Linked DNA regions of Sus scrofa. The protein of the gene in region 7 purifies or fractionates together with the protein of the main gene of each other region. This does not show direct contact. Links are inferred from orthologs where the notes say so. Each region holds a gene or a part of one and is shown on either strand. Other genes may lie near its edges.

Region 1 (3,500 bases), on a different chromosome or scaffold from region 7:
CCTGCCTGCCCCACCCCTACTCCAGTCCCACCTGGGGACACCCCCTGGATCCCACAGGCTGCTGGGAAGGCCTCAAGCCCCGCCCCCCAAGCCAACCGGCCCCGCCCCCTTCTGCTCCAGTCTGGGGAGGGCTTCTCACTGCTTTTCCCTTCCCTGCTCACCCATCTCCATTCACCTGCTCCTACCTGTCCCAGGTGAGCCTGTCCCAGGGAGCCAGCCCCCAGCCCCCCAGCCAGTCCTTTCCATCACTCGCTGGACCAGAGTTTTATCTACCAGGTCACTCGTCCTACCTCTTAAGCTAGACCTTTTTCAAACCCGGAGGCCAGCCTCTGTGTTAAGAAGCAGCAAGAGAGGTTGAGTGGGAGCCAAAGAAATCAATCCCACACCCACTGGTTCCAGCTTTGTGATCCAGGGCAGGCCGCTGTGCTGGTGGGACCCCCAAGGGCACATCTGTAAAATGGGCACAGGACTCTTTCTCCCTGGGGGGGGCTGTGAAGATGAGATAAGGTGATGTGTATGAAGGTGGGCCCCTCTTTGTGGGCCCATGATAAGTGGCACCTCCCTTGCGGCACCCCCGCCTCTATGGGAACCCAGCGCTACCAGGCCATGGATGCTGGGGCTGGGTACCCCCAGAGTCCAGTGCAGTGCTGGACACGAAGCGCATAGGAGCTCGGTAGACTGTGCAGAAGACTCGCTTTGACCTTCATCTGCCAACCCCAGGGCCCTTTTTACAGGCCTGATGGTCTAGGTTCCCTTTTTTCTGGGCCTTTCCCTCCTCCTGCAGCCCATCTCTTTGCGGTTGGCTTGGACTTGGTGGGCCCAGTGGAGCGGGCCAGGGTCTTGGTCAAGAAGGCCTCCGGGCTGTGCAGGCCTCTCCCTGTAGCCCACCGACCACAGCGGTCCCTTCGTCCTCCAGCCTTCCCCCACTTCAGTCCCTGGCTGGTGACCCAAGAGGAATGCAGCCCAGCAGGGGCCAGGCACACTGGTTGTTCTGGGAGGAGATCAAGAGGGCAGAGCTGGGGAGGCAGAGGCCACCGGAACAAAAGGGCGGGAGCCACTGGAGGAGGGGCCTGGACCTTCCTTTGAAACAGCTGTGCTGCTCATTTTAATCCTGCGGCCTCGGCCAGCCCTGCGAGGGGGAGGCCCGGTGGGGGCCCAGCTCAGAGTGGGATGGGAGGGGGTCTTAAACTTTGTCCCAAACATCTCTGTCCCATCTGTCAGCTCGCTGGGCCCAGCCTGGAACAGAGAAGGACCAGCCTCCAGTTGTTTGCATCTCAGAGCTGGGCTCACGGACCTCAGGCGGGGAGTCTGGGAGCTTAGATGTCTTGGGACCCCCAGATTGTCTTCTTCCCGTGCAGGCTTGGGGGTGGGGGCAGGGAGGGGGCAGCCACTCCATCGCCACTGGCCCATTCCCCCGTGTTGCCCCCGCCGCCCCGGCCTCCCCTCCAAGAGCAGCATCCTCTGCCTTCCTCTCTGTATGAGTCTGGGCTGCCTCTGGGGTCCTCTGTGCCCTGGCAGACCCGCCTTTGGGGGCAGAGGAACCCAGCCTGCTTTCTCCCCAGGGTGAGTCCGTGGCTCAGCAGGGCCCCTTTTGTGGCCCCTGCCTTCTGCCAGAGGCACCCCTGGCCACAGCCCGCAGGTTGGCCTTACACAGAGGGTGGCCGTCCTGGGGTCACCTGGTCCTCGGTCCTTGGCGAGGGTCGGTGACGCCCTGCGCTTGTGCTTTCCCCACAGGTCCTTCAAGAGGAGCGACCCCGTGAATCCATACCACGTGGGTTCTGGCTATGTCTTTGCGCCGGCCACCAGCGCCAATGACAGCGAGATCTCCAGTGACGCAATGACGGATGACTCCATGTCCATGACGGACAGCAGCGTGTAAGTAGGGTCTGGTCTCCCCGCCATGTACGCGGTTGGCCGAGTGACCCACTGGGCCAGCAGGGGCAGAGTCCTCAGCTGTTTGCTGGGAGGGGTGGGGCTGGTTTAAGAGGCTCACGTGGTCACCTGGGTTCCTTAAGCTTAGAGCCTTGAGTGAGAAGGTGAATGGTACCTTAACAGAAGAAAACCAAAATTAATTCGATAGAGGGTTAAGAGGAATATCTCCAGATTCCCTGAGTTTTATCCTGCCCTCCCTGTGGGCAGAAGTGCTCGGCTGGACTTGAAACTCAGGAGTCCTTTCCACAGGGACTTGGAGAATAGACTTGTGGCTGCCGGCGGGGCGGGGGAGATGGACTGGGAATCTGGGGTTAATAGATACAAACTGTTGCCTTTGGAATGGATAAGCAATGAGATCCTGCTGTATAGCACTGGGAACTGTATCTAGTCATTTGTGATGGAGCACGATGGAGGATAATGTGAGAAAAAGAATTGTGTGTCTGTGTGTTGTGTGCACGAGCGCGTGCGTCTTGGGGACGCTTTGCTGTACAGTAGAAAATTGACAGAACACTGTAAACCAACTATAATGGAAAAAATAAAAATCACTTTTATTAAAAAAAAAAGAAAGACCAAAAGAAAAAGAAACCCAGGTGTCCCACACACAGAACCACCAGGTGGGACCCAGGGTGGCATTGGAAGGGTTTGCATTTTAGGTGTTGATTGTTGTGGAAGGAAAAGGCCCTGGACGTGGGAGCCAGGAACCCCGAGTTCTCTGCAGGGCCAAGCGTGTAGTGCACCCTCATGGGCCTGCTCCAGTGGACACCTTTGGCAGGGTGCCTGCCTGCTTGGTCCACTGGCGGTTCCACCCCTCGGGGTGGGTGGGGGGGGTCCTCTCCAAAGGAGTGTCTGATCTTGGCCCTTTTGCAGATGGATGACTGGGATTTCTGAATGCCATCCAAGCCATCAGGGTGGTCGGCTGAGGTCAGCAGGCCATGGGGCAGGGTCATGCTTTGAGTTGCAGGTCATTCGAGGTCACACAGCGGGGACCTCTGGATGGGGAGCAGTGACTCTGTGAGTAGTCCCAGGTGGTGGTGGGGGCTGGCATCCTCATCTCCTGCCAACCTTGGAGATCCTGGTTCGGGGACTCGAAGGAGGTGGAGCCTGGGCTTTGGGCAGAGCTCCCTGAGAGCGTGTCTCACAACACCCGCTATTCTAGAAATGGTCTTTGAAGGCTTTCCTGCAAATATTTTGGAGAAGGATCTTCTGCTAAGGGAACAGTTTTCAAAAGCAAACCTATTGAGCTCTTGTAAGTTCTGGCACACTGATTTCGAGTTTGTTCTTTTCAAGTCTCCCCAAACTGGACCGTCTCTTCTTCCAGTTTGTTTGAACCAATCTGGTTTCTATTGGCCAATGATCCATTGCTTGGCCTGCAGCATGGAACCAGAGGGAAGGAAAGTGGATGAGGTTGGTTTGGGACTCTACCACTGATTTTCCTGGTGGCTTTGATTGTGTTACCTCAGATTCCCCTGTTGGTAAAGAGGGGAGGGAAGTTTAAGGGGAAAAGTTCCATCTGAATCAAAGACTAGCACTTAGGCACCAGTGAAAGTGGAGAAGGGTGAATACACATC
Region 2 (3,940 bases), on a different chromosome or scaffold from region 7:
ATTTCTACCAGGAAAATTACCTCTTGGGCCTACTTAAATATAACTTTTAGTTAAAAATAACATACACAAGAAACTGCACAGAAGGACGCTCAATGAAATTTCTACACAGTGAACACATCTGTAACCAGGGCTCAAATCAAGAAAAAAAAATTAGCCGAATCTCAAAAGCCCCCTCGTGGCTTCTTTCTGTCACTGTCTTCCCAAACACAACCTGATTTTCAGTCTCACAGCTTTAGATTTTGTTTAAATGGAATCAAACGATATGAACTTCTCTAGTTCTAGCATCTTTTCCTTAACGTCCATAAGTTGTGTGCAAAAGTAATTTGTTTTTGTATTGTACTTCTGATTCTTTATTGAGATAATGGCCCTGCATTTTTCTGTACTTTTTTCCTTCTGTGACTTGCGGATCATCTTTACCTTGGGGTTGATAAAGCCGAGTGTGGGTTATTTGACATCTCAGGGGTAACCGTCTACATTCTCAACCGTGTTTCAGACGTTTTGAGGTCCCCAAAGGCTAAAATAATCTATCTGAAAAGTGAGTTTTTCAAGGGCCTTACTAAGCCGGGCTGCAGGAGTCAGAACCGGAGCAGAATGCAGCCTCAGGAAATCTTAGCTCACATTTTCTTTGACATTAATAGGCTCACTGAAATCGAATCCAAATCTGGTGACTGGTCGATGAAGGAAGCAAACTCAGCCACCCCGGGAGGCGCCCAGCATATTAGGAAGCTTACTCCGCTTCGGAGCCGCCACTGGGTCCCGCCACACGGCCAACGCAACCCCACCTCCTACTGCGACCGGTGATGACGCCACCACGTCGTATACGCTGAATCCTGACGTCCCCAGAGCGCCAGAACCCAGTGAAAACACAACCGTTCCCCTCAGGATCCTGCGCACTTAATGTCCTCGTTTTTTCCCGTTTTAGCACACGTAGGCTCGCCTTTATCCCTTTTTTCGTCCTTTACTCGCATACGTTCACAGTCTTAGACAAGATGGCCGACGAAGTGGCCCCGGGTCCTAGAGCGCACCGAACCACTCGACTGCCTAGTCAACTTCCGGTTTAGGCCCCGAAGATTGGTGCGTTATTTCCGGGGTGGTTTAAGGTAAGCAGAAGCGGCGGTTTCGAGCTGCGACTGCGCAGTCGGCGCGATGGGGGTCAAAGTAAATTACGTACAGTTGCCCAGGCGGGAAGGAAGAGGCGTTACTCTTCTCGAACTGCCGGTTTGATCGCGAGAGTTGAGCCGTTGCTACGGGGCGAGGTGGGCGGGGCGGGGCCAGGATAGGCAGGGCGGGGCCAAGCCCTATAGGCGGTGCTGGAGCGGGGTGGGCCTTCGGCGACGGACTCGCGAAGGTTCCAGAGGCGCCGCGTGCCGGAGGCCGGCTGCTCTCCCGTTCAGAGTCGGGCGTGTTCTCAGGCCGCGGCCACGGCCACTGCGACTCGTGTCCGTGCGATCTGCGCTTGGAATCAGCGCGCTCGTTGCGGCGTTCCTGTTCTCGCCCTGTGCCGGTGGAGCTCGGGCCTTGCCTGACGCAGCTCGACCATGGCTTCAGCTTTGGAAGAGGTAAGGGGTCTGGCCTCATCTTCCTCCCTCGGCCTTACTAAAGCTTCCCGCTGCGTCCTTCGCCCCACCGCCCTGTTTCCCCTATCGAGCTGCGCTGCGGCTGCCGGCGACACCTGCCTGTCTGGCAGCTTTCCTGCGTCCTTGGGTTCCCGCGCTTCCCCGCGGCCTCCCACCCGCCCAGCTGTGGCGGCCCCGGTGCCGACCGGCCACTGCGGGCCTTCGGGGCTTCGCTTACCCCGGAAAGTTGCCGTTGGATGCCTTCCACAACCCCGGCCGGCGGTCGGCGCTGTAGGTGAGCGGAGGTGTGTTGCGGTTCTCGGCGGCAGGTGGATCCAACCGTGGACCCAAGAGCTGGTCACCTTCACGTTATCCTCAGGCTCTTTTCACTCCTTTTACACCAGCCTTTGGACGTGAAGCTTCGTTAAATTAAAGCCGATTGCAAAAACTGAGAGTCGTTCCACTGAGAGGGCAGTTGGAAGGTGAGAAGTCCTCAGTCCTAGCACTTAAATTCTCTGTCATGTTTTCTCTACACATACTTTGGGCAAGTTATGGTGCATCTCTGGGCCACAGTGGTATCCATTTCACAGGGTTGTAAACAGTGCTTGGCAAAACAATTGTTTGCTATGTGCGTTTTAAAAAATAACTATATTGGGAAATTGGTTGTAACTTTTTTTTAAAGCTCTATAAACTCAACACAGGTGGCTTAACTTTTTGGAGATTTAGTTTGTGCAATTACAAAATGGGAATAATAATACTTGCTTTGCTCTTTTTTCTGGCTTAAGTACAATGACAATACTGTTAATCACAGTTAATTGTTGGGTTTCCACTAACTAGATTTACTCCCTGGGAATCTTCTGCTTAATATGAACAAGACTGGGAAATCCTCACATTTGACTTTTTAAGTCGAAGAATTTGCTTTAAATGAAAAAGTGTGTATGTGTTTTAAGTATTATTGTGGATAATGTGCCACAAGTTTGTTATGTGTTTTAAAGATAGGTCTTTGGGTACCACGTGCCCTGAGGAAAGACTCTGAAGTGACTGTACATACACGAGTTGCTCAATATTTATCCCTTTCAAAGTAACAGGCTTTCTAATTGCAGTGTATAAGTTTAGGGACATTTGGGGGGTTTTTTTGTTTGATATAAAATTCGCTGTTTTTACCATCTTAAAGTGTATAATGCAGTGCTTTTTTTAGTATATTCACAGTGTTGTGCAACCATCAGTATATGATTCAAGAACATTTTCATCACCCCCAAAGGAAACCTATTAAGTGGCCATTAGGCGGTCACTTCCCATTACTCCTCTTCTGCCAGCAGCCACCAGTCTGCTTTCTGTCTCTGTGGATTTGCCTATTCCGAGCATTTCATCTAAATGTAATCTTAAAGCATATGACTTTTTTGGCCTCTTAGCGTTATGTTTTCAAGTTCATCCATGGTGAAGCATATACTTTTATGGCTGAATAATATTCCATTGTATGTATATACCACATTTTGATTCATAAATTGATGGACATTTGGTTGATTTTCACTTTGATTATTATGAACACTGCTGATGTGAATATTTGTGTACAGCTTTTTATGTGGGCATAGGTTTTCAAATCTGTGGTATATATGGAGGAGTGGAATTACAGAGTCATATGGTTAACCGACAAACTGCTAAGTTCTTTTCCAAAGTGCACTATTTTTCATTCCCACAAGCAGTGTATGAAGGTTCCAATTTCAGTTCATCCTCAGCAACTCTTATTTGCTGGAGTTTGTTGTTGTTTGTTGATGTTAATCATCCTGGTGGGTGTGAAGTGGTATGTCATTATGAATTTGATGTGTATTTCCTTAAATGACTAATGATGTTGAGCATCTTTTCATGTGCTTGGTGGTCATTTGTACATCTTTGGAGAAATGTCTGCTCAAGTCCTTTGCCTGTTTTGAACCACTTTGGTTTTAATGCTTCTTAGTGAAGAACTTGGAAATAAGTTAGAAGAGAAAGCTTGAATATATTTATGATAGGAATAAAAAGGAGATGTGATTTTGCATAAGGAAGATAAATGAATGCCTAGAGAAATTAGGTGACAAACTGCTGTATCTCAGGCATCTTAAAGATATTTACAGGAAAAGCACCAAAGGGATCATTATTACTCATTTCAAATTTGTAAATAACAGAGAACTAAGGAATTATCTTAAACAGGCCTGCTGTAAGTTGCTTCAGACTTAACAGTGGATATCTCATTTTTGTGGTGCTGTAGAGCCAAACTGGCTGTAAAGAGGGTCTGGGCATACATTGCTAAATTCACAGAGTTCTGAGTCTCCTAGAAAAAGGATCCATATTGTTTAGAATTTATACATTTTCTTTTTTAAAAAAAACCTAAATCCCTACTCTGGAAACAA
Region 3 (3,500 bases), on a different chromosome or scaffold from region 7:
AGCATGCAGAAGTTCCTGGGCCGGGGCTCAAACCCGTGCCACAGCAGTGACCCAGGTCGGAGCAGGGGCAACGCCAGATCCTTAACCTGCTGAGCCACCAGGAAGCCTCTAGTAGCTTCTTATCAAGTATTGTTCATACATTAGTTTAACCTTCTCAGCAATGTACTATACTGTCACTTTTACTCCTTTACAGATGAGGACAATAAGTCACAGAGATATTAAGTGGCTGGTGAGGTGTCCCCACTGTGTGCCCAGGCCTGCTTGTGGTGGAGCAGGGTGGTGGGCTCTTTCCTCAGATAGCCCGGGTTCCTACCTCAGCTGACCAGCTGTTAGGACCTCACACAAGTCATCCAACTACTCTGAGCCTCAGTTGCTTTATCTGCAAAAAGAGCAGAGACAGGGGTTCCTATCGAGTATAAGAAAAGGGGATTCCCGTACCAGGTCAGAACAGAGATTTGTGGAGTTCCCATCGTGGCTCAGTGGTTAACGAATCCGACTAGGAACCATGAGGTTGCGGGTTCAATCCCTGGCCTTGCTCAGTGGGTGAAGGATCCGGCGTTGCCGTGAGCTGTGGTGTAGGTTAGATGCTGCTCAGATCTCGCATTGCTGTGGCTCTGGCGTAGGCTGGCGGCTATAGCTCTGATTAGACCCCTAGCCTGGGAACCTCCATATGCCACGGGAAGCGGCCCTGGAAAAGGCAAAATACAAAAACAAAAACAAAAAATCAGAGATTTGTGTGGAGACACCAGTTCCTGTACAAGGTCAGGGCGGAGGCTTCTGTGCAGGTGGGGCCAGGGGATCCCATACCAGGAAGGCGGGTTCCCACACACACTGAGCACATGCGGTTGTGAGGATTCAGTGCTTAAAATAGGGTCTGGCACACAGCAAGCTCTTAACGGAAATCAGCTCTCACTAATGTTGCCATCAGTGTGGTAGTGGCGGTGGTTATTATTATCTTACACTTTACAGCACACTTTATCCCCCTGAACAACTACCGCACGCAGTGGGTGCTGTCCACCTGACAGATGTGTGTTCTACTTACTTGTCCCCAGTACCCACCCTCCAGACTTGCAGGGCCCCCAGGGAGGCAGGACATCCAGTCTCCCCAGTTGTCTGAGGACCTCGCCCCATCATACCTTTCCCTCCTCTTTTCCTTAACAAAGGGTGGCTATAACCTGATATCCATCTCGGAGTCCATGGCTGCCTGTACCCGCTCCCTCCTTGGGGACTCACCACCCCTGCTGACCCTGCTGAGGCCCCCACTCTCACGGGCCCTGGCCTCGATCGCCGAAACCACCCAAATCCATCGCAGATACTGGCGCAGCTTGCGGGTCACAAGTGAGGGGGCCTGGGGAATCGGGGGGGCAGTGGGGGCTCAGGGGAGGGCAGGGATTAGAGGCAGGAGAAGGGATAGCACCCCCACACTCAAGGATCTCCCTCTCATGCTTCCAGAGGTCGAAGACAAAGAGAGACCCTCCAGTTCTAAGTCGTTCGCCAAGAAGCCATCCCAACCAGCCAAGCCTAAGCCATCCAAGGGGATGACCGCCCCAAAAGGGGACATTCCGGAAGCACACACAGGGAAGGCCACCTCGGTATCATCAGTGAAAGTGTCCCCCCCAGGCCAGACGAAGTCAGAGGCAGCCCTAGTGGAACTTACTCAGGACCAGTCCTCAAAGGCTGCCACAGAGGAGGCTGTGGGAGGAGCTAAGCTGATCCAAAGCCCTCCAGCCTCGGGAGGTGACAACCAGACTCCTCCAGCTTCTCCACGGCAAGGATCCACAACTCTGATCTCCCCCAGCAAGCTGGTAGGCAATCTCGGAGCCTTGGAACTGAGAAATGAGGTTCAGGTAAGGCCCCCCCCACCCTCAATAGCAGGGAGAAGGGGCAAGAATCAGGCCTCCTGGATACATCGCTTGTCTCCCTCCTTGTATCCAGGAGTCCCCAAAAGAGGAAGGGCTGCTAGGAGAGGCAGCTGGAGGTCAGAACATGGACAATTTAATGCTGATGCAGGTCTTTGGAAACCAAGCTGACACTGACCAGGTGAGCTCAGGCCGAGGCTAGAGCGGCGGCTTCCTTCTTTGGCCCGTTTGTGCCCCCACATCGGAGCGTGGGCTGTATAGGAGCATGTCAGGAGGAGATGGCATCCCTCGCTTACTCAGTGTCACCCACCTCAGGCCATGTTCTATGCTGTGTCACCACTGCTCTGGTGTCCACATGTGGTGGCAGTACGCCCCGTACCTGAAGCGGGCCTGGACGTGACCCAACCTTGTCAAGACTGTGGAGCACTCCAGGAGAACTGGGTGTGTCTGTCTTGCTATCAGGTATGGCACCGAGGAAGGGGCAGGGTGGCAGCCGGCCATGGAGCAAACCACAGTGGACCGCTGACCCCCACCCAACTCGCACTCCCCAACCTTAGGTCTGCTGCGGCCGTTATATCAACGCCCATATGCTCCAGCACCACGAAAGCTCAGGCCACCCCATGGTCCTCAGCTACGCCGACCTGTCTACCTGGTGTTACCCCTGCCAGGCCTATGTTCACCACGAGGTGGGCCCTGGGCAGACTCTATAACTCCCGTACACTCGCGCACACCCCTCTCCCCGCCCCCCCAGCTTTTGCGATTGGGTCAGGGGCGGATGGAGACCCTTCTGCATGGGGGCTAATGCAAGGGAGAAGGCAGTGGAGGGCTGGAGGGGGCGCAGCGTCCTGGCTGAGGGAGAGGGGTACTCACTCTCTCTCCCCTCCCCTCTCTTGCCTCCTCCTCCTCCTCCTCAGGCTCTCCTGGCTGTGAAGAACATCGCCCACCAGAACAAGTTTGGGGAGGGCGTGCCCCACTCCCGCTAGATCCCAGAAGCCTCTTCGCGGGCCTGCTTTACTCCATCCCAAGTTGTACCTTGGAGGAGAGGCAGCCTCGCTCCCCCCATCCTGAAGCCCCTTTACCACTCCCCAAGGGTGCCGCCCGAAGTGTAAATACTTTTAAGAGGACAGTGACGATCACTTGTACGTCTTTCCCTGCTCACTGCCAGCTCAAGGGACTCCATCTACTCTGCCCCCGAAGGAAGGGGCGGCAGCACAGTCACCCCAAGGCGGGGCTGATGTAAAGATGATACTTTGGAGGGAAGGGGGGATGACTGGCAGGTCTGGCGGGGTGGCATATGCAGTAAAGTACAAGCTGTTACAAAAACCTGGAGAAAGGCTTTGATTTCGAGTGGGTAGAGAAGCCCATGCCCCTGACCAGCAGGGCTGATGTGTAAATGAAGGCATGAGGGCGTGGGTCTTTCTCTTGTCAACCCCCAGCTCATCCAGCGCCCCCTCAAACTAACTGCGAGTAGAACAATAGTTCGACTGGCTCCACAAGGGATTAAATGGTGGAATCTGTGAGAAAGTAAGTGCCCGCCTTAGATATAGGAGCCTCCCAGCCGGTCCCAGCTACACCCTGGGCTGAGAAGGCAAGAAAACTCCCTAGGCCTCAGTCTCCCCACCTGCTTTTTGGTCTTGATTG
Region 4 (3,500 bases), on a different chromosome or scaffold from region 7:
CTTCAGGCTTAGTGCCCTCTCCTCGAGTGATCTTATCAGCTCCTCTGGCTTCAGTTCCTATATATAGCTGTCACCTCCTTCATTAACACCCAAAGGGTCAGTAAGTCCCATTGACTGTGCTCCTTAATGTCTCTCAGGTCTGTGTCCTTGGTTCTCACTGCTGCATCCTTGTTCATGCCCTCATCATTTCTTAATCAGACTGTGGCACTAATCTTGCAGCTCCTTCATCTGTGACTGTCCATCTTTAATTCATTTCCAGTGGTGGGCCAGTACTATCACCCCCAAAATTCAGATCTCTTATTAATGGTTCTCCCTGGCTCCTAGGAAAGTCCAGACTTCTTAACATTATGTAATAGAGAGAGCCCTCTACGACCTGGCCGCTTTTGCACCCTTATTTCTCCGTTCTCTCCCCTTTTTTGCATTTGACCTTCCTTCCTAGAAGACCTTTCTTCTCCCTTTCTCCTGAGTTCATATGTCCCTTCCTTATGGAGGTCTTCTTTCATTCGTCCTGAGTAGAGGAAGGTGGCACTGTGGCACCATGGTACCTCTGGTCAGTGTCTTATTTGTAGCACTGTGGGTTTCCAGATACTTATTTGTGTGTGTCTCCCACCAGACTGTAAGAGACTCAAGAAGCTCTCATGTCTCTAGTACCTTTTATCCCAAGTGCCTGTCTTAGTGCCTGGCAGTAGTTCCAGGCACCCAATTCACAGTTGCAAACCTGAGCCCCAATTCTTGCCCCACTGTTTACCAGCTCTTTGACCAGAAGAAGCTCACTTAATCCCTCTGGGTCTTTCTGTTTAGGAAAGTCTTGCTTCAGGCTCTTCCTGGCTGTTAGTCTAACATGGTTGGGGATCATTTCTCCTTTTCCAGCAAACTGCCCTATGATGTGACCCCAGAACAGGCTCTGGCTCATGAAGAAGTCAGGACACGGCTAGACAACTCCATCAGGAACATGCGGGCTGTGACAGACAAGTTCCTCGCAGCCATCATCAGCTCTGTGGACAAAATCCCGTGAGTGCCATCAGCTGTGATCCCAAATAGCCCCCAGCATTAGTGGCCCTCTGCTCCCTGGCCCTTCTCACTAAGTTTTGTCCATCCCACAGTTACGGGATGCGCTTCATTGCCAAAGTGCTGAAGGACTCATTACATGAGAAATTCCCCGATGCTGGTGAGGATGAGCTGCTGAAGGTAAGACTCCGAAAGCTGGCACATTCTCGCCCTTCCAATAATAGCCCTTTGAGGAAAGGTTACAAGACCAGGCCTGACCTTAGACCTTTAGTAAGTGCCTAAGCATAGATTTTGTCAGTTTTGAAAGCGATTATAAATAGTACCTGTGTTAAATGATACCTGTCCTAGTTCCCATGTAGTTTGTATATTGTTCGAATGGCACACAGACATCACACAAGTAGAGAAGACAGATTTTCTTAAGATAAACTTCTTTGAGTCCTGTCTTTTCGCTGAAGAATTGCTCCCTCTGCTGGTGGCGAGGTGAATGGTAGCAAGCACCATTGTTTCTGCTAAGGCTGTTGCTGGTAATTCTTTCTTACTCAGCTATGCTCCCTCCTCTTTTTTTTGTTTTTTTTCCTTTAATCTGAAAGCTTTTTTTCTTCTCTCCTAGTTCTGTGCTTTCCTACACTGAGGCCTCGATTCTAGACTTTCTGTTCAGGTGAATTAATTTTATTTTTTTCTGAATGAAACTCTAGGGGAAGTGCGACTGTCCCTGAATTCTTCTGTGGAAGAGATGTGTGTTGAGTGACTTTAATTTCAGAGGCATGAACTTGTCTGCCTTTGAAGTCTGCAGCATGAGGATGATGGGGGTTGGACGTGCTGTGCTGATTAAGTCATGTTTAAGGATGTATTTTTAGCTGTGTTTGTTAGTTTCTTAGAATGAAAGCCCAGCTACATAAAAGTGAAAAGTGCATGTGGTTGACAGCAGCCTTATTTGCTGCCCTATTATATGTGAACAAAGAATGCCCTAAAAGGCTCAATAACAGACCTTGAGTCTATCATTTTTACCTTCTGAACCTGCTCTTTCATTGTTGTGATTTTGAGTTCCGTTCTCATTCACTTTTTTCCCTGCAGCCAGCCAGGGGATGTTCGGCCATTTTAGTTTCAGGGCTTGAGAGAAAATGTGTGTGCATGTGTGCGTAGTGTTTGCTTTTTCCTCACAGGACCCCATTTTCTGGTTTCCTTTGCTAGCAAAGTCATTTATGGTTTACTCGCGGGAGTGGTTTTTAATACCCATTTCTTTTTCCTCTGTTCCTAGATTATTGGTAACTTGCTTTACTATCGATACATGAATCCAGCCATTGTTGCTCCCGATGCCTTTGATATCATTGACCTGTCAGCAGGAGGCCAGCTCACCACAGACCAACGCCGAAATCTTGGCTCCATTGCAAAGATGCTGCAGCACGCAGCTTCCAATAAGATGTTTCTGGGAGATAATGCTCACTTAAGCATCATTAATGAATATCTTTCCCAGTCCTACCAGAAATTCAGGTAGGAGGAAAGGAACAAGGCACTCAAAAGATTCTGTGGGTGTGTTTCTGACTCTGAGGGGAAAGACAAAGTTAAACTCCACATCCAGCATGCTCTGAACTCCAGGGTGGTAGGATATATGTTTCCTGGGCTCACAGCTCCAGATGAAAAGGATGTCTGAGCCATTAAGATATATTCCTGGGCAATAGACAGTCCTTAATGTAAAAAAACAACGGTCTGCATTAGACATGTGTCACTCCGTAATCAGAGAAGAACTGGAGAGCACTCTTAATGTGTGTAAATTGAACACTGGCTTGTGAGTTCAGGGTGCTGCCTTAGAAAGTTGCTTCTGCTGACCGCTAAGGTCTTGGAGAACTTTGAGGTTTGAAATCATGGTTGAGCAGCTCTTGTGGATAGAACTAAAACAACGCGGAGAGAGGACCAGCGTCCCAAGGCTGTCGGGCACAGCAGACAGCCACAGTTTCTCTGGCGTTAACTGGCCTGGCTGGCTTCTGTCTGAACTCACTGCTCCAGAGGCTTGTGGGATGTCCCCTCTCCAGCTTCTCACACGTGTCACTTTTGGGGCCTGGCTCCTGTGCTTATTTTCAGACGGTTTTTCCAAACTGCTTGTGATGTCCCAGAGCTTCAGGATAAATTTAATGTGGATGAGTATTCTGATTTAGTGACCCTCACCAAGCCTGTGATCTACATTTCCATTGGCGAAATCATCAACACCCACACTGTAAGCATTTTGCTTTAATTACTTAATTTCATCGCTCTGTCTTAATTGCCTTCTCTGGCTACTGCTTGCCATCTCTGGAAGCCCAATATCATACCATCCTTTGATCTTTCTGATATCGCATCTACCTGTTGTTTATCCTCCTTGGCTCATTATTCTTAACATTCTTGAAGTGGCCCCTAGGCCACCTGCAACTGCCTCAGAATCATCTGGGCTGGTTATTAAGAAGGAAGTTTCCTGAACCCCACCGCAGGCCAGCTGGATCAGAATCCCCATGGGTGGG
Region 5 (3,500 bases), on a different chromosome or scaffold from region 7:
GAATTAAAAATCAGAGAGGTATCTGGAAAATCCCTCAATATTTGGAGACCAAGCAAAACGCATCTTAAACTCCTAAGCCAAAGAAGGTATCAGAAGGGAATTAAGTTACTTTGAGCTGAATGAAAATGAAAGCATTGCATATCAAAATTTGTGAATACAGCTATAAAGCAATTCCTAGAGAAAATTTTATAGCTTCTATTAGATAAATATAAAGGTCTCAAGTCAAATACCTAAGCTTACAACCTTGAGAAACTAAAAAAGAAAGAAAAGCAAATTAAGCTCCAAACTAGGAGAAATAGTAAGTATCAGTACAGAAATCATTGAAAGGAAAACATGTGAACAATAGAGAAAATCAATGAAAAGTTCTTTAGGAAGATCAATTAAATTTAAAAAGTTATACTTAGCAGAAAGAGAGAGGACACAAATTACTAATGTCAGCAATGGAAAAGGTGACCTCACTATAGAAACTAAGGTGTTCAAAGTATAATAAGGAGCTACTGTGACAATATTTACCCTGGCACCTTTTCTTAGGGTAAAACTTCCAACTATCTTGCCTCAGCCTGATGGACAGGGCTCAGGTAATACAGAAAACTAGTTTATGGCTATCTCCAAATGAATATACACATATAAAAATTAGAATAGTATATTCTTTTTTAAGCTTTAAATAATTTTTTTACAAATATAAATTCTATAACTTTTTATTTTTAGGTACATATCAATTTTTAAGGCAACTGTAAAAGATGACATGCAGAAATTTAAAACTGCAATGAAAACCATGGGACCAGCAAAACTTGAAGTACCTTCTCCAAAGGATTTCTTGAAGAAACACTCTAAGGAAAAAACTCTACCACCCAGTAGGTTTTATCATTCTTTTTAATATTAAAAGTGTTAATAAGTAATTTAACTAAAATTATTTTGTCTGAGAATATTGAATGTTTACAGTGATAGCAACTCTACCTTGTATTAAACAGAATTTGAGAGCCTAGGAGAAAATAGAAGTCAAGAATATGATAAATGCACCCTAATATTTATAGCAGCATTATTTAAAGTTTCCAAGATAAGGCAGCAACCTAAGTGCCCATCAACAGAGGAATGGATAAAGAGCATGTAGCATGTATGTACAGTGGAATATTACTCAGCCATAAAAAGAATAAATATTGCCATTGCAACAACATGGACCTGGACAGTATTTGCTAAGTGAAATAAGTCACAGAAAGACAAATACTATATGTTATTACTTATATGTGGAACTAAAAAATGCAGTAAATTTGTGAATATAATAGAAAAGAAGCAGACTCACAGATATAAAGAACAAACTAGTGGTTACCAGTGGGAAGAAGAGGGGGACAATACAGGGGTAGTGGATTAAGGGGTACCAACCATGAGGTATAAAATAATATACAAAGATACATTGTACAACACAGGGAATACAGCTGTCAGTATTTTATAATAACTATAAATGGAGTAGAATCTTTAAAATTGTGTATATTGTACACCTGTGGCACAGATAATATTGTACATCAACTATATGTCAATTAAAAATACATTTTAAAAAAAGCTCTACAAAAAGAGAGAATGTAGTAGAAAAAGAGAGTGGGCAATGCTAAGTTGCCTCCCAAGTAGACTTTCCTTTTGATGGTCAGGCATCTGAACTTCATCTTCGACTATTCAGTAAAGCCCCATCTCCAGCACCACATGCCTCACCATCTTCATCCCTAGCCATTTCACTTCAATAGCAAACAACAATTATAAGAAGCATCCTAAATCCCAGTGGGCAAGATTGGTCAGGATCTAAACCCTGTCTAGTCTTTCCTCCAAGAGATAAAACTTAACAGCTGTTATAGTCAGTGGTCGAAGCAACTACCAGGCTCATTTTAGCCTTGACTGGTTTTTAACTCTTGTCAGATCTCTAAGACTGTCAGGGCAATGAAGGAGTTAAATGCAGTGGAAGAGCTTTGATGAGTGAGAGCCGTTTTTTTGGGCATGCTACCAGTGCAGTCACACGGGGCCCCACGCTTGAAAGGACCCCACATTTGGTTTAATCCTCTGCTTTTGCCATCTTGATATTCCTAATGGTTTTTTATCCAAGAGCACCACATTTTCACTTTGTACTGAGCCTCGCAAATTAGGTAGTCAGTTTTCTATGTGGTCATACAGAATATATATATCAGGGAAAAGACTACCAGGAAAATAAGGAAAAGAGGAAGAAGTCTGTCTCTCCTCTTATAAACATTATAAGGCAAAACAAAATTTCATTCACCTTAAGAATAATTAAGAAATTCTAGGGCTTTAAAAGCCCAGTCCACTGAGACAAAGTTAAAGGTAATATATGTCAAGGCTGCTGCCAATCTGTCTGTGAATATTTTGCCATTTTGAGCACAGTAATTTTCTAGACACACTGAAAAATAACTAACAGGTCCATGAACATGTCTCAACTGGTGGAACATCTGCATGACTGCAAGGCTGTGTTGATATTGTCATGTTGTTATAACCTTTAAAAAAGCCACGTCATTCAGTTTTCATATTTAGTATCACTGCCACCAAATAATTTGTGAAGAGACAGCCTCACCCCATTTTCTAAGCCTTCTCTCATTGCCAACCCCTACTTCCTGGGATGAGGGACATGATGACATTTAGATACATATAACATAAGCAAAAGAAGGGGGTAGGCTTAGGCTCCATCCCATGCAAACCATAAACCAAGATTTATAATTTACTTACTCAACTAAGAATGAGTTATCAGTCTTTCTTTCCTCATTTTCTGAGGATTCAGAAATGCATTTCTAAAGCTATAGTTAGAGGAGTCATTTGCATGCACTTTCAGCTAATAATTAAATTTGGCTTCTAAATGTTTCCCATGTGAATATCTAGAAGATGGATGCCTCTGATTTTTTAGGCAAACATTTTAAGCCATCCTTACTTGGTTGGATGTATCTGATACAAAGGAGCTACTTGGGCTGTGGAAGGCTTAGTCTCTGCTTCAGGCTTCATGTAAAAACTCCTTATTTCAATTTTTGACAATATTCACATCTCAGTAACATGTTAAATAGAAAGAAGATACCATTTTTGTAGGTCAAAAGCAGTGAAGAATTTTATGTATAGTTCAAGCAAATATATATATTATATTTTGCATATTAAATTTTCTTTTTTCACCCCCCACTATAATGTAAACTCCATGAGAATGGAGACAGTCTCTTTTGTTACCTGCTGTATCCACAGTTCCTAGAGCATTACCTGGGGACATAGTAATTGCTCAACATAAATATATGGCATGAATTAATGAATATTCAAAACCTCCTTTATAATATTTCTGGGGGTATGGAATTATCAGAGGTATGTTGGTCACTAGGGCTGCTAACATAACAAACATGGGTAGCCTAAATGGAAATGTATTTTTGTCACAATTCTGGAGTTCAAGTCCAAGATAAAGGTGTTTCCTGGCTTCATTTCTTTTGAGACATCTCTCCCTGATTGTAGGTAGCTGTATTCTCCCTGTATCT
Region 6 (3,500 bases), on a different chromosome or scaffold from region 7:
GGCCTGTGAACTCCTGCAGTGAGAGGGGCCGAGTAAGTGAGCTAGCCTGACCTGAGGCCACGCGCTTACATCCTCGAGCTTCCTGTGAGGCCTCTTCAGATCCCACCTCCCTGTGCCAGAGGACTGGACAGACGAGTTCGTCCAGGGCCATGCCAGGATGATAACAGTGCCCCGTCTGGAGCCCAGGGGCATCAAGGACAGGGGGTTTGGGTGACTTGCTTAAGGACAGTGGCTGGCCAGTGGCAGAGTGGGAGTCATTCAGGAGTGGGAGGCCAGATCTCGCCACCTCTCAGCAGGATGCTGGTCTGCAACTGGGGCCTCTGCTGGGGGCTCCTGCTTAGCCTTCTGGGCCGGAGGCAGACCCCCTGGCCTGGGGAGCCAGGGCTCCACCCTTTCCCCTTTCCTCCTCCTTCCCAGGCTTGAGTCAGCAGGTTTCCCACAGCGACACTGGCGGATTTCAGAATGACTCTGCCTGAGGCTGAGGTGAATCAGCCATCACAACCACCACTTTCCATTTTCTCACTGGGGGAGGGAAAGACTACACGTTGTGTGTTTATCAGCTTCACACACAGGCCCACTCCCAGGCTGGCACCCAGGGCTTGTTCAGGATTTCGGCTCCTACGTTAACCTGAAGCCTTCAAATTTTGACCTGGTACCACCATCCCTGACCCTTTGGTACCCTCAGGCTCATTCTTTTTGGCATTGGCGGGGGGGGGGGGTTTGCACAGCCCCAGGTTCTCCATTTGTAGGAAGGGTCCAGCCACCTGGCCTGAGGGGGCAGGGACTTGAGCCTCCCACTCTCTGGCTCTGGGTATCCTTGGGCTCCTCCCCATCCAGGGTCCATACCTTGCTTCTGGCTGATGTCAGCTGGTGCAGGTGTGGGGTGCGGACTGCTGAAATGTTCATAGAGAGGAGAGAGCTGGGGGACGCCGTGGGAAGGCTGACTGGCTTTGTGCTGCGAAACAAGGAGGGTGGGTGAATGGGGGGACCTGAAGGAGGAAGGGTGCCAGATCGCTGTGTGTGGGCAGACCAACCCCCAAAGGAAAGTGGAGGTGGCCAAAACCACAGGCCTCAGTGGACAGCCCCCCGCCCCAGGCCACCCGGTGTCTGGTGGCCCTGCCGTCCTGCCCCTTCCCCTGGCCCCAACTTTCCCAAGCAGTCCAGCCTCCTAGAGAGCCTCCTAGAAGACCCTTGAGGAAGAAATTCTTTCTGTCTCCTTGGCTGAGGTCTCTCAGTTTCTCTGAGGCCCTATGTCTGATCTGGCGAGCTGGTCACGAGCCTCCTGAGCTCCAGGGCAGCCTGGGGCTTGCTCTCCTCCTCCTCTAGCCCCCAGACTGAGGGGCTTGAGCCGGAACCTCTGGAACCACCAGCTCGAAGTCAGGGGAGGTAGGCAAGGTGGCACTGGGTGTAGCCAGGCTCCCTCCAGGGCCAGCGCACCCGGCCTCCGCACTTCCTGTTGCCTCAGCACCGCAGGACTCTTACTTTTTACACTATAGTCACATGGATCTGTCATGAGATGACTCACGTTCAGGCTGTGAAGGGGGCTCCCCGTAGGCCCAGCAACAAGGAGTGTGCGCTCAGAACCGAGGCCTGGCCTGTGTACCCGCAGTGCGTGCCCGCGCCCGCGCTGGCCAGTGCCCTGCAGGCATCATCTGCAGCGCCAGGTCACCTTCCACGGGGAAGAGTCCACCTGTGGGGGTGCTGCTGGCTGGGGCACAGTCCAGTGACCTCTGAGCCATGGCACGAGAGCAACAGGCTACCTCTGGGGCAAGACAGTCAGGAAAGGCTGCGGTCTAGGCTCCTGCTCACCCTGTAGGTGAAATTTCTCACTGGGTGAATTTAGTCAGACGCCTTGACGTCTCTGGGGCCCAGTTTCCTCTCTGTGAAATGGATGGGGTTCAAGACCCCTTTATCACCAGGGCTGGGGAAGGTCAGGGTAGCTCTTGGTAAGGAGCCTGGCACAGGTCCCTTGGTACTGCTCTTACGGGTCTGGGTGAGGCTGGAGGCAAGGGCAGGGATGAGCCACAGCGGGTGCAGCAAGGGGCTCCCAGGTGGGCAGAAGATCCCACACCTCCCAGCAACAGCCCTGGCACCAGCTTGCCCACATCGCTGCCTCCAGTGGAGCCTCTCTTCCCCTCGGGGCTTGGTGAAGTTGCTGACATTGCCACCTACCAGTCCCCGCTCACCCATCTGCCCACGAGGAGAAGCTCAAATACCAGGGCTAACCAGCCTGCCTTCTGTCCTTAAGCCCTCAGCAGGTGATGTTCTAACAGTGGTGGCTCCTCTGCAGCTGGCATGGATGTGGTGCCACAGCCACTTCCTGAGCCCGATGCCTTCCTTGTGACCAGAGCCCCCTCCTGGCCTCCTGAAGCAGGGCAGGGGAGCATCCCTCAGCCTTGAAGAGGTTCTGCCACCACAGCAGTTCCTGCATCTAATTTACTACAATAGCTGAGCAGCCATGACCTTGTCTCAAATGGCTGCTGGGAGGATAAAGCCAGACAGCACCCCAGAGCTCAGGTACCCAAGTGTCACGAGGAAGGGAAGTGTAAGAAGCCCCTCACTCACCCCGAACTGCACAGAGGAAGTGCTACTCACAGTGTCCCCCCAGCCCTCTGGTGCCAGGCCTCCCATGGGCCAGGCGCTTTGGTCTCATTGCACCAAAAGGGGTTTGCCCTGAGATGGTAGCCACTTGCAGCATCACTCGGAGACGACAGGGCCGTGCTGTCCCCTGGCCTTGATTGCTGGGACTTCCCTGTTGCTGTCTGAAGGCCAGGCTTCCTGAGTGAGCTGGGGGCGCTCCAGTCACTCTCAGGTCTTCCTTGATCCCCAGCACTGACCCCAACACTCCTGTATCAGGCTGGGAGCGTGGGGGGAATGGAAGGTGGAAGGCGGGATGTCCAGGCCTGCAGGTGGCTAGCAAGAGGCGAGGGAGGAGTAGGCCAGGGCAGGTGTGGGGTATGCGTGGCACAGGACTCCTGCACATACTGAGTACTTGCCACATGCCAGGCACCATCCCAAGCACTCTGCAAGCCCAAACCGCTTCCCACCAGGGTACCAACAAGTTGCCACTTCTCCCAGCTGTAAATCCTCTAGCTGCCACCTCATGGCTTGCTTCCCTTTACTGCAGACAGCAGAGCTGTCCCCATCCGCCGCCTCGAGTCCTTGCTCTCATCCATGGCAGTCTCTTGCCCCATCACTTCACCAGATGACCTGTCAAGGTCCCCTGTGACCTGTCTCCGAACTCGGCTCAGTTCTCTGTCTCCATTTTACCTGCCTCCTCGGCAGCACCGCGCAGAGCTCATTTCTCCTCCCTGCTTGCTGCCGTTCCTTCTCCGGGACTGCAGGATGCCACACTCGCCGGGTTTCCTCTCAACTCAGAGGCCACTCCACTCCCCCCGGCCCTCTTCCTAACTCTCCATCCTCTTCCTGACCGAAGCCAAGCTTGGCTCCTCAGTTCTCCATCTATCCTTACCGCCCAGGCTGCTCTCATCCAGGCTCAG
Region 7 (4,156 bases):
ATCAAGCATGCTTCCACCCTAGCTCAAAGTACAAACTTAAAATTTACCACCTACTCCTCTACAATTATTATCAGTAACTAGTAAATCATGAAGAGAGAAACAAAATCCTATTGTAACTGGATAGATGTATTATTTCAATAACACAAGTTTCACTGGCTGAAGATACTTATATAGTCCATATCTAGGGTTTTAATCTCACTGCTACTTTTAATGACAGAGAATCAAACTTTTGAATTCTCCACATCCCCAGTTTTAATAATACTTCTGCTCCTCTTTTCACCCCTCCCAATAAAAAAAAACAGTATTTGCAGATAGTTTTCCTGAAAGACCAAATCTCAAAATACCCTTAGAGAAATATGCCTAATTCATGTTTTCCTTCCTATGGGGGGGGGTGGAGGAGGGAAGTATCTATGAAAACAAAAATACACTACTTCACTTACATGGATAATTTTTATTCCAGTCATCACTGGCAACAGTAGGAAGTTCAATTCAGCTTATGTTTTAATACTGGGATCCATACTTTTCTACATAATTATCTTGGTAGAGGAAGTAGTCGGATAACGTTTCAAAAGAAAACTCTTGAATACCTATTGACACTTGAACACTGCTAAATGTTTCTTTTTTGTCCTTTTTTTTGCCACTTTATTTTTAAAAATTGGTTTTTCCTGAAAGCTATCTTAAATGATTATTCTAGCCTATGGAAAAATCTAAGCCTAGAACTCCACAAGGGCTCTAAGCTACATGCTATACTAAACTTTCTAGTTTAGTTTTTTTATTTCCCCCTCAAGGACCTTAGACTTGAATAGTCTCAGCATTCCTTTAATCCTATAGAAGAGTCTTCTGCAAGTTTTTCGAGTTACTGTTGCAATCACTTTAGGGCCTTGTACATGGCCTTTAGAACAAAGACTAGGTCAAAGTAATGAATATTGGGTGCAAATTAATCAAATTTTGTGCAAGGATATTCTCAAACGTTAATGGCACTTTTTTTTTTAACCCAGAGATTTTGTGGGTTTAAATGTAAAAGTAAAATAAATGCAGCCATCGCCTTAGTTCAGACAAAAAAAAAAAAAAAAAAAAAAAAACCCACAAAAAACCCTCCAAAGTATGTTTTTGTCACTGATTTAAGCAGATACTAAACAGTAGCATTATGGTAAATAATATTTCAAGCTATGTCCAACATTTCTGAAGACAAGTTAAGGTGAAGATAGCTGAAGGTACTGAATGCACACCAAGGGACAATAACGAAATGGCTTCCTAAGTTCCAGACAAAATACTTTATAACTCAGCGATCTGAAAAACATCAGTCCAGACTTTATCAAAGGCTAGCCGTCGCTTCAAGTTGCTGTCTAGTCTAAGCCACCACTATTCACGACACAAAGCTCTCGTTTCACTAAAACCACTCCTCGATTTCCTTTTGCGGACCTCTGCATACCAGCAGGCCAGTCTCCTCATTCACCACTCACAAACTCGGGGGGGAGGGGAGACCACAGATGTCTGGAAGATACAAAGTAGGAGACAATGCTCCCTCCAACAGGGAACTGAAAACGAAGGAATCAACTACACCCAACTGCCAAAGCTTTCAAGTTTAGCGGATCCAGTAGCGGGCTTTGAGAACTGAACTTCGAAACTGCATTCCAAGTCCTCGCCCCAGACAAAACACGGAACGAAGTTGCAACGCTTGAATTTCCTTCGGGCAATTTCGTAGCGAGGGAAAAATTCATCTCGCTGGAAAGTGCTCTCAAAATCAAGTTTAGCTGGCATGAAATTATCTAAATAAAGAATTTCCACGAACAAAATTCTCGAAGCAGTCAGAGGCTGAGTCCGGCGGGTCACTTGGTAAGAGACAGTAAGCCAGTCGCCCTCGCCCTTATTTTTCCCAGGACCTTCCTTGCACACTGCTTTCACTCACCTGCACCGTACAAGAAAATAAAGGTGCTAGATATGGATTTTATTTGTGCAACTCCTCCTGGAGCATCGCTCCGTCTGCAATAATAGTTTGGATCCTCTACGGTTTAAAGTTGCTCCGATTTAAACAGGAGCCAAAACCAAACACACCAGCAGAGCATTAAAATAATACTAACGATTCTCTTAATTCGTCCTTAAGCACGAAAGAGGGACTCTGAAGAGAAAGTCTACTGGTCCTCTCCTCATGGCAGATGGGACCTCGGGTCCCAGGCCCAGCGCCTGTACCCCAACTCCCCTTGAAGGCCCGGAAGGCGGAGTCCCCCGTCCCCACCCCGCCCCCCACCCCGGCCCCGGCGCATCCAGAGGCGCAGGGTCCCTCCCCCAAACTCGGCCGCGGCCGGAGCCCGGGACGGAAACCACAGACCCCCCTACTATCCCCCGCCAGACAACGGAGCTCCCGAACGCGCCCTCGCGGCGCCCCCTCCCCGCAAGCGGCAAACCCGGGGCCCCCAAAGAGCCGCGCGACCGGAACCCGGGCCCGGCCGCCGCCCTCCGCCCCTCGGGCCGGGCCCGCCCCCGCCGCCTCCCCGGCGCCCCCAGTCAGCCCCCAGCTCCCCACCCCGGCCCTCCGGGCTGCACCGGGCCCGGCTTCCAGCCGCCGCCGGGACCGCGCGCCCGCGACGAAGTTTGGCTCCGAAGAGGAGCGGGAGCAGCCCCGGAAGGGTAAGGAAAGGAGCACCCAAGCACCTCAGGGGAACAGGCTCCTCCCGCCGCGGGAGTCCGACCGTCCTCGGCCTGCGGTGGCGGCTCGGCGGAGACCGGAGCTGCTCCTCGGACCTTCCTCCGTCTCCGCCTCCCCTCGCTCTCAGCTCCCGGAGCCGGGTTAACGCGGCTGCCACAGACCGAGAGGCTTAAAATGGCGCCGCACAAGGAGCTCTTATAAGTCGCGCAGAATCCGCTGTATCCTGCCGCCAGCGGCGCAGCGCGGAGCGTTCCGCCGCGCGAGGACAAGGGGCGGGGCGCGGGCGGGCGGCGGAAAGTAGTCCCCGCTCCGCCGAGCCGCCCGCCTCGGGCTGGGGCGGGGCGCTTGCGAGCTCTTCGGGCGCTCCCGGGGGTTAGAGGCCGGCGGCTGCCGGGCCGCGCGGGACCGCAGGACAGATCCGCCAAGGCGCTGTCGGCCGAGATGGGGCGGCCAGGGCACCCGCGGGCCGGGATGGGCTGGGGGAGGGCGACCCCGAAATTCTCCACTATCGGGATCCCGAAGCCCCCCGGCTCTCACTCGTCCAGTGCCAAGAGAGCGGACGCTGGACTGGCCGCTTGCTGCCCGTGGGAGGCGGCACCCGGACCCCGGCCCTACGAGGCCGAGCGGCACAGGTCCCAGGAGGGCGGAAGTTCGGGACCGGGCCAACCGCAGTGCTGAGGTCGGGGCCCGCCCGCTCCCGGCGCTGCCGGGCGCTGCTGCTGCCCCTATGCAAGTCGAGGGACCCCGGCGCGATCGTGCTTTCGCCGTCTTTGCGGTCTGGGCCCCAAGCTCTCTGCAGGACTTGGCTCCTAGCCGAGCCGCACATTACCTCCACGGTCTGAATCGTAGATTCCGCATCCCTACCGGCTTGAATCTGGAAGTGAAGTACCGGGCCGAGCCTCCTGTTAACCCAATCCCAAAGACTGAACTCGTGTTAGAACGGGCGCCTAGCCCGCAATTCAACAAGTCCTTAGTCCCTACTGTGAACAAATGACTGATAGAAATGGACTAGCTCTAGAGCCCTGTCAACTAGGTTAATTCTTACAGATTTCAATTTTATCTGGTTCCACTTTACTAAGTATCAATAAATTTGTTGGGGGAGGATTTTTCCTCGGAGGAAGTTCATGTATAGATATTACTTAGTTGAGAAATCCAAGTTGTTGTTTATGGAAGGAGCTATCAGGCAGCTTCTAATTTTTAAAAACGAATTTTCTATTCTTAAAAACATTTTCTAATTCGTCCTAATAGGCTGAAGCTGGGTCTTCGTTTCCCTTCGAAATGTCTCCATTGTAATCCAGCAAGATTGGCATTTGTCAAAGATGAAAAAATTATGATCCATTCACTTTGTCTAGTCTATTGTATGCTTATTTTTCCTTCAAAACAATGAAGAGCATACAAAAAGCAACAGTGAAAGTTATCTTCAGGCTTTTATCCCTGTAATTAATGCATGCAAACAATAGGTCTTTATGCATAGGTACAGACAGGAAACCTATTTACTCATTCACTCAT

What was found.
Region 1: the proteins of CTNNB1 (region 7) and AXIN2 purify together in Homo sapiens (affinity purification with western blotting; 4 studies listed by BioGRID and IntAct, with this or other methods). This does not show direct contact. The link is inferred for Sus scrofa from reciprocal best matches to the Homo sapiens genes CTNNB1 and AXIN2.
Region 2: the proteins of CTNNB1 (region 7) and CACYBP purify together in Homo sapiens (affinity purification with western blotting; 4 studies listed by BioGRID, with this or other methods). This does not show direct contact. The link is inferred for Sus scrofa from reciprocal best matches to the Homo sapiens genes CTNNB1 and CACYBP.
Region 3: the proteins of CTNNB1 (region 7) and HDAC6 purify together in Homo sapiens (co-immunoprecipitation; 3 studies listed by BioGRID and IntAct, with this or other methods). This does not show direct contact. The link is inferred for Sus scrofa from reciprocal best matches to the Homo sapiens genes CTNNB1 and HDAC6.
Region 4: the proteins of CTNNB1 (region 7) and IQGAP1 purify together in Homo sapiens (affinity purification with western blotting; 3 studies listed by BioGRID and IntAct, with this or other methods). This does not show direct contact. The link is inferred for Sus scrofa from reciprocal best matches to the Homo sapiens genes CTNNB1 and IQGAP1.
Region 5: the proteins of CTNNB1 (region 7) and ENKUR purify together in Homo sapiens (affinity purification with western blotting; 3 studies listed by BioGRID). This does not show direct contact. The link is inferred for Sus scrofa from reciprocal best matches to the Homo sapiens genes CTNNB1 and ENKUR.
Region 6: the proteins of CTNNB1 (region 7) and TCF7 purify together in Homo sapiens (affinity purification with western blotting; 8 studies listed by BioGRID and IntAct, with this or other methods). This does not show direct contact. The link is inferred for Sus scrofa from reciprocal best matches to the Homo sapiens genes CTNNB1 and TCF7.

Annotation. Positions count from the first base shown.
Region 1 is NC_010454.4:12,329,708-12,333,207, reverse strand, and holds part of AXIN2 (axin-2), read left to right. Parts: intron 1-1,734; coding exon 1,735-1,875; intron 1,876-3,500. UniProt on the Homo sapiens protein: Inhibitor of the Wnt signaling pathway. Down-regulates beta-catenin. Probably facilitate the phosphorylation of beta-catenin and APC by GSK3B.
Region 2 is NC_010451.4:117,062,855-117,066,794, forward strand, and holds the start of CACYBP (calcyclin-binding protein), read left to right. Parts: upstream 1-1,140; 5' UTR 1,141-1,538; coding exon 1,539-1,559; intron 1,560-1,960; exon of another isoform or gene 1,961-2,038; intron 2,039-3,940. UniProt on the Homo sapiens protein: May be involved in calcium-dependent ubiquitination and subsequent proteasomal degradation of target proteins. Probably serves as a molecular bridge in ubiquitin E3 complexes. Participates in the ubiquitin-mediated degradation of beta-catenin (CTNNB1).
Region 3 is NC_010461.5:42,938,713-42,942,212, forward strand, and holds the end of HDAC6 (histone deacetylase 6), read left to right. Parts: intron 1-1,163; coding exon 1,164-1,338; intron 1,339-1,452; coding exon 1,453-1,847; intron 1,848-1,935; coding exon 1,936-2,040; intron 2,041-2,174; coding exon 2,175-2,321; intron 2,322-2,416; coding exon 2,417-2,545; intron 2,546-2,773; coding exon 2,774-2,842; 3' UTR 2,843-3,182; downstream 3,183-3,500.
Region 4 is NC_010449.5:53,107,479-53,110,978, forward strand, and holds part of IQGAP1 (ras GTPase-activating-like protein IQGAP1), read left to right. Parts: intron 1-870; coding exon 871-1,011; intron 1,012-1,103; coding exon 1,104-1,188; intron 1,189-2,266; coding exon 2,267-2,499; intron 2,500-3,087; coding exon 3,088-3,220; intron 3,221-3,500. UniProt on the Homo sapiens protein: Plays a crucial role in regulating the dynamics and assembly of the actin cytoskeleton.
Region 5 is NC_010452.4:50,320,609-50,324,108, forward strand, and holds part of ENKUR (enkurin), read left to right. Parts: intron 1-708; coding exon 709-854; intron 855-3,500. UniProt on the Homo sapiens protein: Adapter that functions to localize a calcium-sensitive signal transduction machinery in sperm to a calcium-permeable ion channel.
Region 6 is NC_010444.4:136,443,243-136,446,742, reverse strand, and holds part of TCF7 (transcription factor 7), read right to left. Parts: intron 956-3,500; coding exon 847-955; intron 14-846; coding exon 1-13. UniProt on the Homo sapiens protein: Transcriptional activator involved in T-cell lymphocyte differentiation. Necessary for the survival of CD4(+) CD8(+) immature thymocytes. Isoforms lacking the N-terminal CTNNB1 binding domain cannot fulfill this role.
Region 7 is NC_010455.5:25,162,939-25,167,094, reverse strand, and holds the start of CTNNB1 (catenin beta-1), read right to left. Parts: upstream 2,801-4,156; 5' UTR 2,653-2,800; intron 2,629-2,652; coding exon of another isoform or gene 2,208-2,628; intron 1-2,207. Other genes in the region: basic proline-rich protein-like, read left to right, coding at 2,208-2,628. UniProt on the Homo sapiens protein: Key downstream component of the canonical Wnt signaling pathway.